3 linked regions of the Macaca mulatta genome follow. The protein of the gene in region 1 binds, or shares a complex with, the protein of each later gene. Links are inferred from orthologs where the notes say so. Each region holds a gene or a part of one and is shown in the gene's direction. Other genes may lie near its edges.

Region 1 (4,228 bases):
AAGGTGACAGTTCTTACAAACCCCTGTGTGTACGACTCAAGCAGGTGGAATGAAAATGGAACTAGGCATGTGCTGCTGAAACTGAGAGTAAGATGGTATGGATAAGCTTTGGAGCTCAGGGGTATAGGAAAAGTTTTAGTACAGCTGCTCTAGAAACAGGAAAGGAAGCTGATAAAGGAAATGGAAAAGGCAATATTGCCAAGTACTAAATAGGGCACAGTCTGAAACTGGGAGAGGAGTGTGGTTCGCCTTTCTATCGAGTCTCAAATGAAAGACCGCCCAATCAGAGACAGATGGGCAGACCTGGTCAGAGCTTGGTATCAGTGGGACATTTTCAGGAGGACAAGGGGGTAAAGGCATGGAGGCTGCTACTGAAAGAAGCCAGCCTGGGTGAATAGGAATGGAAGGGAAGTCAGCCAGGGCTGAGCACTGGAAGAACAGGGAAAGCAGAAAGCCAGCAACCCAGAAGAGGTCGAGGGCAGGGACCTGCAGGTGGCATGGACCTGTGCAGCACAGCAGACAAGGTATGCGTTTGAACCAGGCCACCATGGTGCTAATCCGGGCTCCGCTGTTTTTTCCACTACGTAACTTTGGGCAAACTACTTAATCTTGCTGAGCCTTAATTTCCTCATCTGTAAAAAGAGTAATACAAAGATCAAAATCTCTTATTTGAGCCCCCTCAAACTAGATAGTATTAGAATCTCAAAGTGTTCAGATTTTAGGAAAGCAGTATACTGCACAAACCATATATTATTTAACATCCCCCTATGAGGTTTGGGGCAGCATCCTGTAATTAAATGTTAATATTTCTTCTATGAAATGAATCTTTACGCTAGAAGGAACTATAAATACATTCATACCATTTCAGGTCAGATTTTACTGCCAAATGAATTCTGACACTTACCTTTTAAAAAAAATGTTTAAAGATGTTTCAAGTTCATATGTGCCATATTGGTGGACCATTAATAGAACCCACCTCATAAGGCCATGTCACGAGGATTAGATGACCAAATTAACATTAAGCAGTGAACACAGTGCCTGGCATGTAGTTACGTCCTCAATACATGCTGCTGTTAGTGTTTTTCTCATCAGCATCATCACTGTTGATGACAGTGTGGCTGAAGTAAAAGGGGGACTGATAAGTGGGGAGGAATATAGAGAGGGAGAAACACAGTGAAAATAAGGCAGAAAAGCAGACCAGATGGGGTTTTGAATACCAAGTTAGGAGTTTGGATTTTATTGAGTAGAAGCAGACAGAGCAGAGAAAAAGACTATAAATTTTTCAGAAAATCAATGATATCAACAGATTTTTGCTTCAGAAAAACCATTCTAGTGGCAGTGTGAAAGAGCGCAAGGAGGCTAAGACCTAGCAGGAGAGCTTTGTGGTAAGCCAGGTGACAGATGATGAGGGTCTCACATGAGGCTGTGGGGGGTGGGATGAAATTCAAAGGGAGAACGGACAGGATTGGGAAACTGATCGGGTGTGGGATGGTGAGGACTAAGAGAAAATACTATCACAGAATATAAGGGAGTAGAAATATTCCAGAAATAGATGGGCAGTAATAATGTTAAATGTAGCAAAAGAAAGAAGAAGATAAGGTGTGGAAAGCATTCTCTGGGTTTGGCAATTAGGATGCTACTGGCAATCTCAGGAAGAGCAGGCTCAGTTGACTCCGTGAGAATGGAAGCCACACGTTATCAAATGTCATAGAGCAGCCAGTAAAATACAGACTGAAAAAATAGGGGTTGAATTCACTAACAAGGAGGTTTTCAATGACCTCTGACATTCATTGCAGTTTGACTTAATGAAGTATTATGGGTAACCTGCAAACCGCAGTGGTTTGGTATAGGGATGGGAGAGTAAGGAATAGATTGTCCAGTAGATTGGTTTTCTCTATGAAATGGGAGGTGATCACTGGCTGTGGGCATTGGGAGGGAAGGAACTAGTTTTCCAGTTTGAAATAGGAGATTTCAATTGGGGCTGAACGACTTTCTCTGTAAGTGGACAGTAAATATGTTAGGCGTTGTGGGCCATAGCCTGTCACATATCCTTCTGTGCTTTTGTTCTGTTTTGCTCAGCAACCCTTTAAAAATGTAAAAATTTGTTTGTTTGTTTGTTTGTTTTGTTTTCTTTTTTGAGACAGCCTTGCTCTGCCACCCAGGCTGGAGTGCAGCATCGTGATCTCAGCTCACTGCAACCTCTGCCTCCTGGGTTCAAGTGATTCTCGTGCCTCAGCCTCCCTAGTAGCTGGGATTGCAGGTGTGTGCCACCACGCCCGGTTAATTTTTTGTGTTTTTAGTAGAGTGGGGGTTTCACCATGTTGCCCAGGCTGGTTTCAAATTCCTGGACTCAAATGATCTGCCTGCCTCCCAAAGTCTCCTAAAATGCTGGGATTACAGGCATGAGCCACTGCACCTGGCCTAAAAACACAAAAATCATTTTTAAGCCAGACCACACAAAAATAAGCTCTTGGATAGATCTGGCATAGGAACCAGAGTTTGCTGACCTGATTTAGATTACTCCCCTTTCAAATCTCCCCAAGTGACAGAAACGACTGCATGTTCATTGTAAAGCAGAAGCACCCAGGACAAAGACAGAAGAGACACAAAACTGGAAACCAAGTAGACAAGTGGAAGTCAGCAAACTCAGGAAAGCTGAATCCTGTGCTGGTAGTGGGAAAAGTTGAACTGAACGTGAAATATATCACAGAACTCCCCAAAGACTCAATCACTGGCAGCATCAGGTACCACTAGTAGAGGGAATGAAGATGATACTGAAAACAAGATTCCCGGTTTCTAAACATGAGCAGGCAGCCAAGATCATGAGGCATTAGAGGAAAGTATTTTATATAAAGACAGGAGACCAAAACAAATGAAATCTAAATGCAACATTGAAAAACTGAAGAGACTCAGGGGGATGAAAACTCAGGAAAAAAAAATCATTAAACTCCTCAGAGAGAAGACATTTTACTCATGAAACAGGTAGAGGATATCATAAAAAATATATTTGGTGAACAAAAAGAAAAAAGTTACCCTGGAAAATGAAACACATAATAGCAGAAATAAAAAGGGCTGGAAAAGGAATTGGAAAAGTTAAGGAAATTTCTCACAATATAGAACAAAAAGATAGAGATGGAAAACGATTAAGAAAATATTTTTAAAAGATTAAAGGACAAGTCCAGAAAACATGACTTCTGAATATGGGAGTTCTAGAAAGAAAGAATAAGGGGAAAAAATGAAAAGGCGAAAATGCTGAAAAGAATAACTCAATAAAGCTGTCCCCGAACTAAAGGTTTTGAGTTTTTTGTGCTTAAAAGGGTCCTCTGAGTGTCCAGCACAGTATGAAAATAGCTCTCCATCAAGGTACATTATCGTGAAATTTCAAATTTCTAGAGAGAACAACAAACAGACTTTATATAAATAATTAAAAATCAGAACAGCATTAAGACTCCTCAAGCAGAACACCAAAAGCCTAGAATACAATGGGGACAGTACCCTCAAAATACTGAGGAAAAATGATTTCCAACCTAGAATTCCATACGCAGCCAGACTATCAATTAAGTGTGAAATCAGAATAAAGACATTTTCAGGTATGTTCTCAAAAAATTACTTCTCATGTATCCTTTCTCAGGAAATTAGTACAAGATGTGTTCCATTAAATGAAGAAGTAAAAAAATATGGGGCCCAGGAAATGAGATATACCACAAGAGGATGGTGACAGGGACTTCAAGACCACAGATGTTTGGCTACACAGAGAGCAAACCACCCAAGGAGAGCATGCAGAGGCTCCCAAAGAGAGTTCTTCAAGAAAATGAAGCTGACAGACAATCTAACATGTCTGAATATATGGAGAACGATTTATACAACTGGAGAAGAGTTTAGGGTTGAATTAGTGACAAATACACAAAAAACTAAGGAAAGTAAAAAGCAAGACTTTTACTGACTTCAGGAAAAACAAAACATGCAGTGAAAAACTAGTAATCATGGTATCTATGAATAGTGTTTCTATGGTCATGGTATATAGATTCAATATTGCTCTAACTATATTAGGAGAATTGGAGGATAGATTGCATGGCTATGGTAGAGGAGTGGTGAGTGTGACAGAGTATTAAATATTCATCTTCCATTGAAGAAAGTCAGTAGGTAATACTCAAAACAGAAAAATCAAGAACTGGCAACATACTCTTGTTATTAGAGATTCAGTGGTTAAAAACCAAACAAATTAGCT
Region 2 (4,501 bases), on another chromosome or scaffold:
TTAGTCTTGCTTTTATGTATAGATTTTTACAAAAAATTTTTCAAGGCTGATCTTCAGTTGAATATGTTATAAAGTTATTAATATAATGAAAGCATATCAAGTTTCATAAATGTAAAAATGTTTCAGAATTTCTCAAGTGCTTGGAACTTGAGCATGAGCTGACTGAGATATTCATCTGTGGGCTGCCAGGAATGATTGAGCTGATCTGGCTGGCATGCCCCTTAATATCTCTTCCAAAGTTGTGATGACTCAAAGAAGATACCATTCTTAGATAGTATTGTATTGTATTGTAGTCAAGGGTGCTAGGAATAGCCTAACTTCCCACCTAGAACTTCTGAAAAAGACTGTCACATCTCTTCATAGGATATGGCAGGGGAGTCAGACTTGATATTTCATTTGGTTTTCATTTTATGAGATACCCCTTAACCACCTTTTCAAAGTGATATCTGTAATGAAGACATTGTTGTGTTTATACAGACAGATAATAAGTAGAAACCTGGTTCACAGACTTGTGAGTTATTTCTTCGGTCTCTGAAACTTAGCCTAATATGGTGGCTGTATATGTAGTGCATACTTAACAGATACCCATTAATTGTTTATTTAAAATTATTTTTCTTCTGAAACACTACCTCAACTTCTATGTGTATTCCCACTATACGTTTCACACAGAAACTCGAATACGTATAGGAACAAAGATAGCATTAATAAATAATTGCATAAAATTGAACTTTTAAAAAAATACAAATTAACATTATGGAAGTAATTTTCGTTTTTTCTTTTTAATGGAACATGAATTTTTAGGTTCCTGCAGCAGAGTCTGAGAAATAAAAGTTTACAGATGAATGACTATAAGATTGCTCTATTGTGTAATGCATACTCTACAAATTCAGAATGTTTTACATTACCCATGGGAGCTCTGGTAGAAACTATTTATGGAAATGGAATTATGAGGATACCTCTCCCTGGAACAAACTGTATGGCTTCAGGATCTATTACCCCCTTACCCATGAACCTCCTGGATTCACTGACAGTTCATGCCAAAATGAGGTATGTTCTTTTTATTAATTTGATTCCATGTCAGGGAATTGATACGAGTATAGTATAAACCTTTATTTCATGGTTTTATGTGTGTAATTTTTCATAGTCAGGTACATTTAGGGAAAAAAATAGCTTTATTTTATTACAAAAGTAAATATTTTTTATTATAGGAATTCTAGGATAAACAAACCCAAAGAAAGTAATTGTCATAATCTCTCCATGAGAGATAAGCATTATAAAAATTTTTTGCACTTTTTTTTTTTTCGTTTTTTGTAGATAGTAAGAAGGAGGACTAGTGTAGCTAGAGCTTCCAACGTTTTTGAGAAGGGCTAGAAATCCAGATTTTTTATTACTAGTCTTTCAGCCTTTAAGTATTGGCTCAAATTTAAAACAACCACCGTATAGGCCTAAGAGAATTTGTCTGTGGGCCTCCAAGTGGAGCATCAGTTCTGGTAGAGCTATGCTCTTTTTCAAGTGGTAACCATTGTGATAGAATTACACATGTGCTTCACTTGCATGTATAACAGATTTGAGCAAAGCCTCATTAGAACCTAACATTTGGGTCTTAGCTATGATGTGTTAAAGTAAATCTGTGACAGAAGTTATTTAATTTCCCAAATGTATTTTGATGCATCATTGGAGTAACCAAAATCTCTCAAGCTTGCTCTTATAAGTTGAACCCAAAGTTTGTTTTCCCATGAGCAGGGGGATCCGTGTGCATATTGAAAGCACCATGGAAATCGGAATGAGTCTCAGGTTGTGCAGTGCATCCTTACCAAGTGTCCTGCACAATTTAGACACATTAAATGAATCAACTTCATTTGAATCATTTAAGTTCAAATTATACTAAGTTACTTCTAAGTAGAGTAGCGCCTATGTTTATGTCAAAAATATGGATTTTTATTTTCTTCCCTTTTTTTCTCCTCAGCCTTATTCACAGCATTGCAACCAGGGTGATAAAACTTGCTCATGCAAAGTCCAGTGTGGCCTTGGCTCCAGCCCTAGTGGAAACTTACAGTCGTTTATTGGTCTATATGGAAATAGAGTCTTTGGGCATCAAAGGATTTATCAGTAAGACAGGACTTTCTGGTGTTTATAACTATTAATCCATTCATTAACTCTAAAGGTACTTTTCTAGTTCCGGGGACACAGCAGAGAACAAGTCACCACCATGATGGAGCTTATGGAGGGGGACGTTAAATAAATGAAATATATAATATGTCAGGTGATACATGTTATAGAGAAAAATAAAGCAAAAAGGAATAGGAAGTTTGAGGGTGGGAGGGGGGGTTTGTTGCATTTTTAGGTAAAGTGGTAAGAAAAGGTTAATGTGCTAGGTGCCTGGGATGTGGTGAGCAGGATAGACATGGTCCCTGTCCTCATGCAAATGGATTCTGCCTGAGGCAGTAATGCTGTCCTCCAGTGCATACAAAAGGCTGACTGGCAGTAAAGAAGGAATTCTCTTAGATTGCAGAAAATACATTATAATGTCTGTTATTTATTATGTAGTTCTAAAATAATAGATACTTTCTAATATAGAAGTGTTTTTCTGATTCATCATAATTCCAGCTTTTCATGAATACAGCATAGTTTTAATTTTAACCATAGTAAGTCTTCCTAGATAACTGATTGTTGAATAAAACTTTCTCGGGGGTAGGAGGAAACAAGGGCAGGTGTAAAAATACAGTTTTTTGTATTAAAAAGTGAACCTCATACTTCAAAAGGTATGGAACATTAACTGTCTAAAAATAAAAGATACCAGAATTGAGAAGATTAATGCTTTTTCGTATCTTGTCTCATTTTGTTTTTCCAGATAAACATGATTATCACTTGCCAAGTCCCAGGAAAAAATAATTGATATTATAGTTAGGATCTGAATTTTTCCTTACTGTTAAAGTAGAAAATAAGAAAATGTGGAGAATATATATGTGTGTGCGTGTGTATTTTCGCAATCAAATCTTTATTTGATTCACTCAATGTGACTTTCTTCAACTATCTTTTAATGCATAGCCTTTACTAATTGGTACCTTAAATTGTCTTTTTCCTCCAGGTCAGCTTTTGCCAACTGTTTTCAAATCACATGCATGGGGGATCTTACATACACTCCTTGAGATGTTTAGCTACCGGATGCATCATATTCAGCCTCATTACCGAGTTCAGCTCCTGAGTCATCTTCATACTTTGGCTGCAGTTGCACAAACAAACCAGAACCAGCTCCATCTTTGGTGAGCTCATTGAAGGCCATCTTTCCTTAAGATTTACTAGAAACTTTCTTGGAGATGAGGTTCTTAATCCTTTGCCTTATAGGTTTTTTTTTTTTTTTTTTAATTCATCTGTCATAAAACTTCTCTGCTTCTAAAGTATTTTGTTTCCATTATAGGAGCAGAGTCCAGCTTTTTAAATAGAAACTGATTAAGATAGTTGAGTTCTTGCTTCAGGATCTTTGGACTGAGAATTAGTACTTTCAGGGTATTTATTATTATGTTGTAACTTAGCCCTTTAGAATGCTGTTTTTAAGTATACTTCAGATTATGGTTAAAGTATCATGTCACATTGATTTTGCTTTAAATTAAAATATATTTTAGATAGAAAAATATAATTTTTGAAATGCAGTATCTCCAGGTGAAATTTTTTAGTCCTATAGGCGACAAGTCATCTTTTTCAAATGTGTAAAAATGTCAAGATTTTCACTATAAAATTGGACACATTAGGTTTTTTAAACAAATTAAGCAACATTTATTCTCACACACAAGTGTTTTTTTAATTAAAGAAGGGATAGTCATATAGATTGCATGTTTTTCCAGTGTAATTAACCTTAGAATTAGATTTAATTCTATAATTCTGAAATTTTTTTACATTTCTTTTTTTTCTCCCACTTTTCAGTGTCGAGAGCACTGCTCTCAGGCTTATAACAGCATTAGGTAGCTCAGAGGTACAACCGCAGTTTACACGCTTCCTTAGTGATCCCAAAACAGTGCTCTCAGCAGAATCTGAAGAACTGAACCGAGCCTTGATATTGACCTTGGCTAGAGCAACTCATGTTACAGGTACGGTGACTATGTGACTACAAACAAACAAAAACAGATGAATTAAAGTGTGCCGTGATTCTACTAATTACTATGGGTATAACATACTAAAAAGATACTTTTCATTTGTTCAAAAAAAGCCAGTTGTTTTGATATCTTCACTATTTCATTCATTTATGGAAGCTCTTTTGTGTAACATCATTCTATTAATAACTGGGTTGAGCATCAGTTTTCAGTTATCTTCCATAATTTTAAAGTAGTAATTCTTTAAGCTTTTTGGTCTCAAGACTGCTTTACACTCTTAAAATTGAAATTCCCAAAGAGTTTCTGTTTATATGGATTATATCTATGGATATTTATTCTATTAGTAAAATAAAGTTTAAAAATATTTATTAATTTGTTTTTAAATAGTAATAAACATTACATGTTAGCATATG
Region 3 (5,146 bases), about 16 Mb from region 1:
GGTTTCTCCACGTTGGCCAGGCTGGTCTTGAACTCCTGACCTCAGGTGATCCACCTGCCTTGGTCTCCCAAAGTGCTGGGATTACAGGCGTGAGCCACTGCGCCAGGCCAGATTTTGTCAACAAGTATCTGAATATGTTCCAAACATTTGAGCCATAGCCATGGAGGGAGAAAGATGACTAAAAAATAATGTATGTCAAGCCAGCTATTACAGGCTTATGACTGTAATTCCAGTCGTTTGGGAGGCTAAGGCTGCAGTATTGCTTGAGTTCAGGAATTCAGGATCAGTCTGGACAACATAGCAAGAACTCACCTCTACTAAAAATAAAGAAAACTTAGCTGGGCATGGTGGTATGTACCTGTAGTCCGAACTACTTGGGAGGCTGAGGTGGGAGGATCACTTGAACCCCCAAGATGGGGGCTGCAAAGAGTTATAATCTCGCCACTGCTCTATAGCCTGGAGACAGAGTGAGACCCTATCTAAACAACAACAACAACAACAACAAATCTATGCCATAAAAATAAAGCAGGAAAGTGGCTAGAGATTGGTAGGACACATACTATTTTATTAGGGTGATCAGAAAAGGCCCTGATGATAAAGTCACTTGAGCAGACCTGATAAAAGTGATAGAGTAGACATGCAGATCGGAAGAACATCCTAAGCATAGAGAATAGGGGAAGGGGTCTGGCAGGAAGGTCACTCCTGAAGATAATGATCAAGGGGAAGAATAGAAGGAGATGTTGTTTGGCAGGTAGCAGAGACCATAATATGTAGGGCTTTGTCAACAATGGTAAAGACGTTGGCTTTTATTCTGAGTGACACAGGAAGCCACTGGAGTGTTCTGAGTAGAGAAGTGTTAGACGTTGGCTTTTATTCTGAGTGACACAGGAAGCCACTGGAGTGTTCTGAGTAGAGGAGTGTTATTATCTGCCCAATAATATAATAGATCATTTGGCTTTTGTGTGGAGAAGAGAGGAAGAAGGCAAAGGTAGAAACAGGCTATTTGCAAAGACCAGGCAAGAAATGAGGGTGACTTCATTTGAAGGGACTATAGGTTGAAGTGACCAGAGGAGCGAGAAGTGATTGCATTCTGCATTTGTTTCAAAAATACGGATTAAATGGAGGGTGTGGGAGAAAGAAAGAAGTGAAAGATGATTTTCCGGTTTTTGGCCCGGGTAACCAACTAGAAGCAGAGAGTTGCCATTTACTGTGATGGTTAAGACTGCAGGATGAATAAGATTTTGGAGGAAAAAATCAACAGTTTGATATTGAACGTGTTAAGATAAAGATGTCTGTTAGGCATCCAAGTGAGGAAATTGAGTAGTCAGTTGGATGTTTTCTTCTGTGGTCCAGAGATAAAAATGTGGGAGTCCTCAGGGCCTAAATGATATTTAAAGCCATGGGACCAAATAAAGTCACCTAGGCAGGAAAAGAGTATTGATACAGAAGAGGACCAGCATTGAGTCCTAGTCCTCCAGTGTTTAGGGAAGTTGAGAGAGACCAAGCAAAGAAGACTTAAACGGGCTGTTCAGCAAGTTAAGTGAAGAACCAAGAAAGTTGTGTCTCAGAGGCCAAGGGAAGAATAGATTTCATAGTGGGTATAAGCTACTATAACAACTGTGTCAGATGTTGCCAAGAGGATGAAGATTCTATGAAGCAATTCACTCTCTTCTACTTACATATAGAAGAGGAAAACTTTTCCTGATAAAAAGGAAACTTTAGCTGGGTGCGGTGGCTCCACGCCTGTCATCTCAGCACTTTGAGAGGCTGAGAAGGGCGGATCATGAGGTCAAGAGATCAAGACCATCCTGGCCAATGTGGTGAAACCCTGTCTCTACTAAAAATCCAAAAATTAGCTGGGCATGGTGGCGCACACCTGTAGTCCAGCTACTCAGGAGGCTGAGGCAGGAGAATCGCTTGAACCCAGGAGGCGGGGGTTGCAGTGAGCTGAGATCGCAGCACTGCACTCCAGCCTGGAGACACAGCTAGACTCCGTCTCAGAAAAAGGGGGTGAAACTTTATATTTCTATAAATGGAAAAGTTTGATTTGTTGGAAATAGAAGGCAATTGTTAAACTATATGACAACAAAATAGTGTTATTGGCTGGGCATGGTGGCTTGTGCCTGTAATCCCAACACTTTGGGAGACCAAGGCCAGGAGTTCAAGACCAACCTGGGCAACATAGTAAGACCCCATCTCTACCAAAATAAATAAATACATAATTAAAACAGTATTATTACATTCTAGATAGACCCTGTTGCTGATTAAAGGCTCTAAGCCCAAGGCCTGCTGGAGATTAGCATTAGAGGAGGCCTAAAGACATTGTAGTGTTAAATAAGAAAATTCCAAAAAATTGAAAAGGGAAATAACTTTCTCACAACGTTATACAATACCTTGGTAGTGCAACTTCTCTAAAATCTCATGTTTGGCCCTATGTTTTATGAAATGCTTCACTAAACTGTTTTGGTTTTTCATTAAGTTTTTTCAATTGTATGCTAACTCCATGACCTAAAATGAAAGATAGGACTCAGTGGTGCTTGTTCCGTTTTCAGGAAGTGTTTTAGATCACAGTTTGGAAAGCCTCATCCACCGCCTTCGTGGTTTGTGTGACAACATGGAACCTGAGACTTTCCTTGACCATGAGATGGTATTCCTTCTTAAGGGCCAGCAAGCCAGCCCATTTGTTCTCAGGGCCCGACGCTCTATGGACAGGGCAGGAGCACCCTGGCATCTGCGCTACCTGGGACAGCCAGAAATGGGAGACAAGAATCGCCACGCCCTGGTGCGAAACTGCGTGGACATTGCCACATCTGAGAACCTCACCGACTTCTTGATGGAAATGGGCTTCCGCATGGACCATGAGTTTGTTGCTAAGGGACATTTGTTCCGTAAGGGCATCATGAAGATTATGGTGTACAAGATTTTCCGCATCCTGGTGCCAGGGAACACAGACAGCACTGAGGCCTTGTCACTCTCCTATCTCGTGGAATTAAGTGTGGTAGCACCCGCTGGGCAGGATGTGGTCTCTGATGACATGAAGAACTTTGCAGAGCAGCTAAAACCTCTGGTTCACCTAGAGAAAATAGACCCCAAGAGGCTCATGTGACTAAGAGGATCTGTCCACATTTGGGGCCTGTCCTTACTTGCTTGAAAAAATGTTTGCTTTTTTTTTGGTTTTTGTTTTATTTTGTTTTTGAGACAGAGTCTCGCTCTGTTTCCCAGGCTGGAGTGCAGTGACACGATCTTGACTCACTGCAACCTCTGCCTCCCGGGTTCAAGCAGTTCTGCCTCAGCCTCCTGAGTAGCTGGGATTACAGGCACCCACCACCATGCTCAGCTAATTTTTGTATTTTTAGTAGAGATGGGGATTCACCATGTGGGTCAGGCTATTCTCAAACTCCTGACCTTGTGATCCACCCACCTTGGCCTCCCAAAGTGCTGGGATTACAGGCATGAGCCACCATGCCCGGCCAAAAAAATATGTTTTAAATGCCCCATTTCACCATTGCCAGGCAGGCATTCTTCCTTCAGGGAGAGGATGGTGAGAATTAATTGGTTCTTTGCACTGTTCTTATGTGGTGATTTCACTTTCATGACAGCCTTTCTACATTAAAGGCTCAGGATGTCACGGAGAATCTATCTAATCCCACTGTATTATTAAAAGGGGAAACCAGGCCAAGCGCGGTGGCTCACACCTCTAATCCCAGCGCTTTGGGAGGCCGGGGTGGGTGGATCACCCGAGGTCGGGAGTTTGAGACCAACCTGGCCAACATGGTGAAACCCCATCTCTACGAAAAATACAAAATTTAGCCGGGCATGGTGGCGGGCGCCTGTAATCCCAGCTACTTAGGAGGCTGAGGCTGGAGAATTGCTTGAATCCAGGAGGTGAAGGTTGCAGTGACCAGAGATGACACTATTGCACTCCAGCCTGGGTGAGAAGAGCAAAACTCTGTCTCAAAAATAAAAATAAAAATAAAGAGGGGAAACCGGAATAAATTAGCTTTTGGAAAGGAAAATTTCTTGTTTGGCCATTTGTGTATAAGGTTTGTAACATTAGAGGCTGTGAGCTTGTGTTATATGGTAATAAAGCCAATGAAGAGAAATGTCTGTGTAATTCTGATTCTTTATTCCTTTACCCTGTAAATTTGGGGTGGATTCATTACCAGTTGAAGCAAAAAAATGACAGTTCCTAGTTTTAATTATGGTAGAGATGAGGATGAGAGTTTTCACCTGTCATAAAAGTAGCACATTTATTGTTGAAAACTTATAAAATACGGTACAGATAAAAAATAACACCTATTATCCAAAGAGAGTACTAGTTCTATTTTGGTATTTATCCTTCTAGTCTTTACTTTTTATAAATTTATGTATATGAAATGTGTTTATTTTATAGAGAAGATTCCATATATACTGCTTTATAACCCTTTTTTCCTATTCATCTATCATTAACATCTTTCCAAGATATTTGTCTACAATCTCCTTTTGTTAAATTTTTTTTTGTTTTTTTGAGACAAGAGTTTCGCTCTTGTTGCCCAGGCTCAAGTGTAGTACTGCCATGATCTCAGCTCACTGCAACCTCCACCTCCCACGTTCAAGTGATTCTACTGCCTCAGCTTCCCAAGTAGCTGGGATTACAGGCATGCACCACCACGCCTGGCTAATTTTTTTTTTTCTTTTTTTTTTTGAGACAGACTCTTGCTCTGTCACCCAGGCTGGAGTGCAGTGGCACAATCTCGACTCACTGCAAGCTCCACCTCCCGGGTTCATGCCATTCTCCTGCCTCAGCCTCCTGAGTAGCTAGGACCACAGGTGCCTGCCACCACACCCAGCTAATTTTTTGTATTTTTAGTAGAGACGGGGTTTCACTGTGTTAACCAGGATGGTCTCGATCTCCTGACCTCATGATCCGCCTGCGTCGGCCTCCCAAAGTGCTGGGATTATAGGCATGAGCCACTGTGCCTGGCCTAATTTTCTATTTTTTTTTTTTTTTTTTTTTTTTTTTTGAGACGGAGTCTCGCTCTGTCACCCAGGCTGGAGTGCAGTGGCCGGATCTCAGCTCACTGCAAGCTCCGCCTCCCGGGTTCATGCCATTCTCCTGCCTCAGCCTCCCGAGTAGCTGGGACTACAGGCGCCTGCCACCTCGCCC

Evidence for each region. The genes of interacting proteins can lie anywhere in the genome.
Region 2: MED8 (region 1) and MED23 share a complex: the UniProt entries of both Homo sapiens proteins name them as parts of the mediator complex. The link is inferred for Macaca mulatta from reciprocal best matches to the Homo sapiens genes MED8 and MED23.
Region 3: MED8 (region 1) and MED18 share a complex: the UniProt entries of both Homo sapiens proteins name them as parts of the mediator complex. The link is inferred for Macaca mulatta from reciprocal best matches to the Homo sapiens genes MED8 and MED18.

The regions. Positions count from the first base shown.
Region 1 is NC_133406.1:196,876,004-196,880,231, forward strand, and holds the start of MED8 (mediator of RNA polymerase II transcription subunit 8), read left to right. Parts: upstream 1-1,428; 5' UTR 1,429-1,432; intron 1,433-4,228. UniProt on the Homo sapiens protein: Component of the Mediator complex, a coactivator involved in the regulated transcription of nearly all RNA polymerase II-dependent genes.
Region 2 is NC_133409.1:36,639,130-36,643,630, reverse strand, and holds part of MED23 (mediator of RNA polymerase II transcription subunit 23), read left to right. Parts: intron 1-801; coding exon 802-1,047; intron 1,048-1,966; coding exon 1,967-2,109; intron 2,110-3,088; coding exon 3,089-3,263; intron 3,264-3,921; coding exon 3,922-4,085; intron 4,086-4,501. UniProt on the Homo sapiens protein: Required for transcriptional activation subsequent to the assembly of the pre-initiation complex. Component of the Mediator complex, a coactivator involved in the regulated transcription of nearly all RNA polymerase II-dependent genes.
Region 3 is NC_133406.1:212,596,787-212,601,932, reverse strand, and holds the end of MED18 (mediator of RNA polymerase II transcription subunit 18), read left to right. Parts: intron 1-2,552; coding exon 2,553-3,106; 3' UTR 3,107-3,842; coding exon of another isoform or gene 3,843-3,858; 3' UTR 3,859-4,103; downstream 4,104-5,146. UniProt on the Homo sapiens protein: Component of the Mediator complex, a coactivator involved in the regulated transcription of nearly all RNA polymerase II-dependent genes.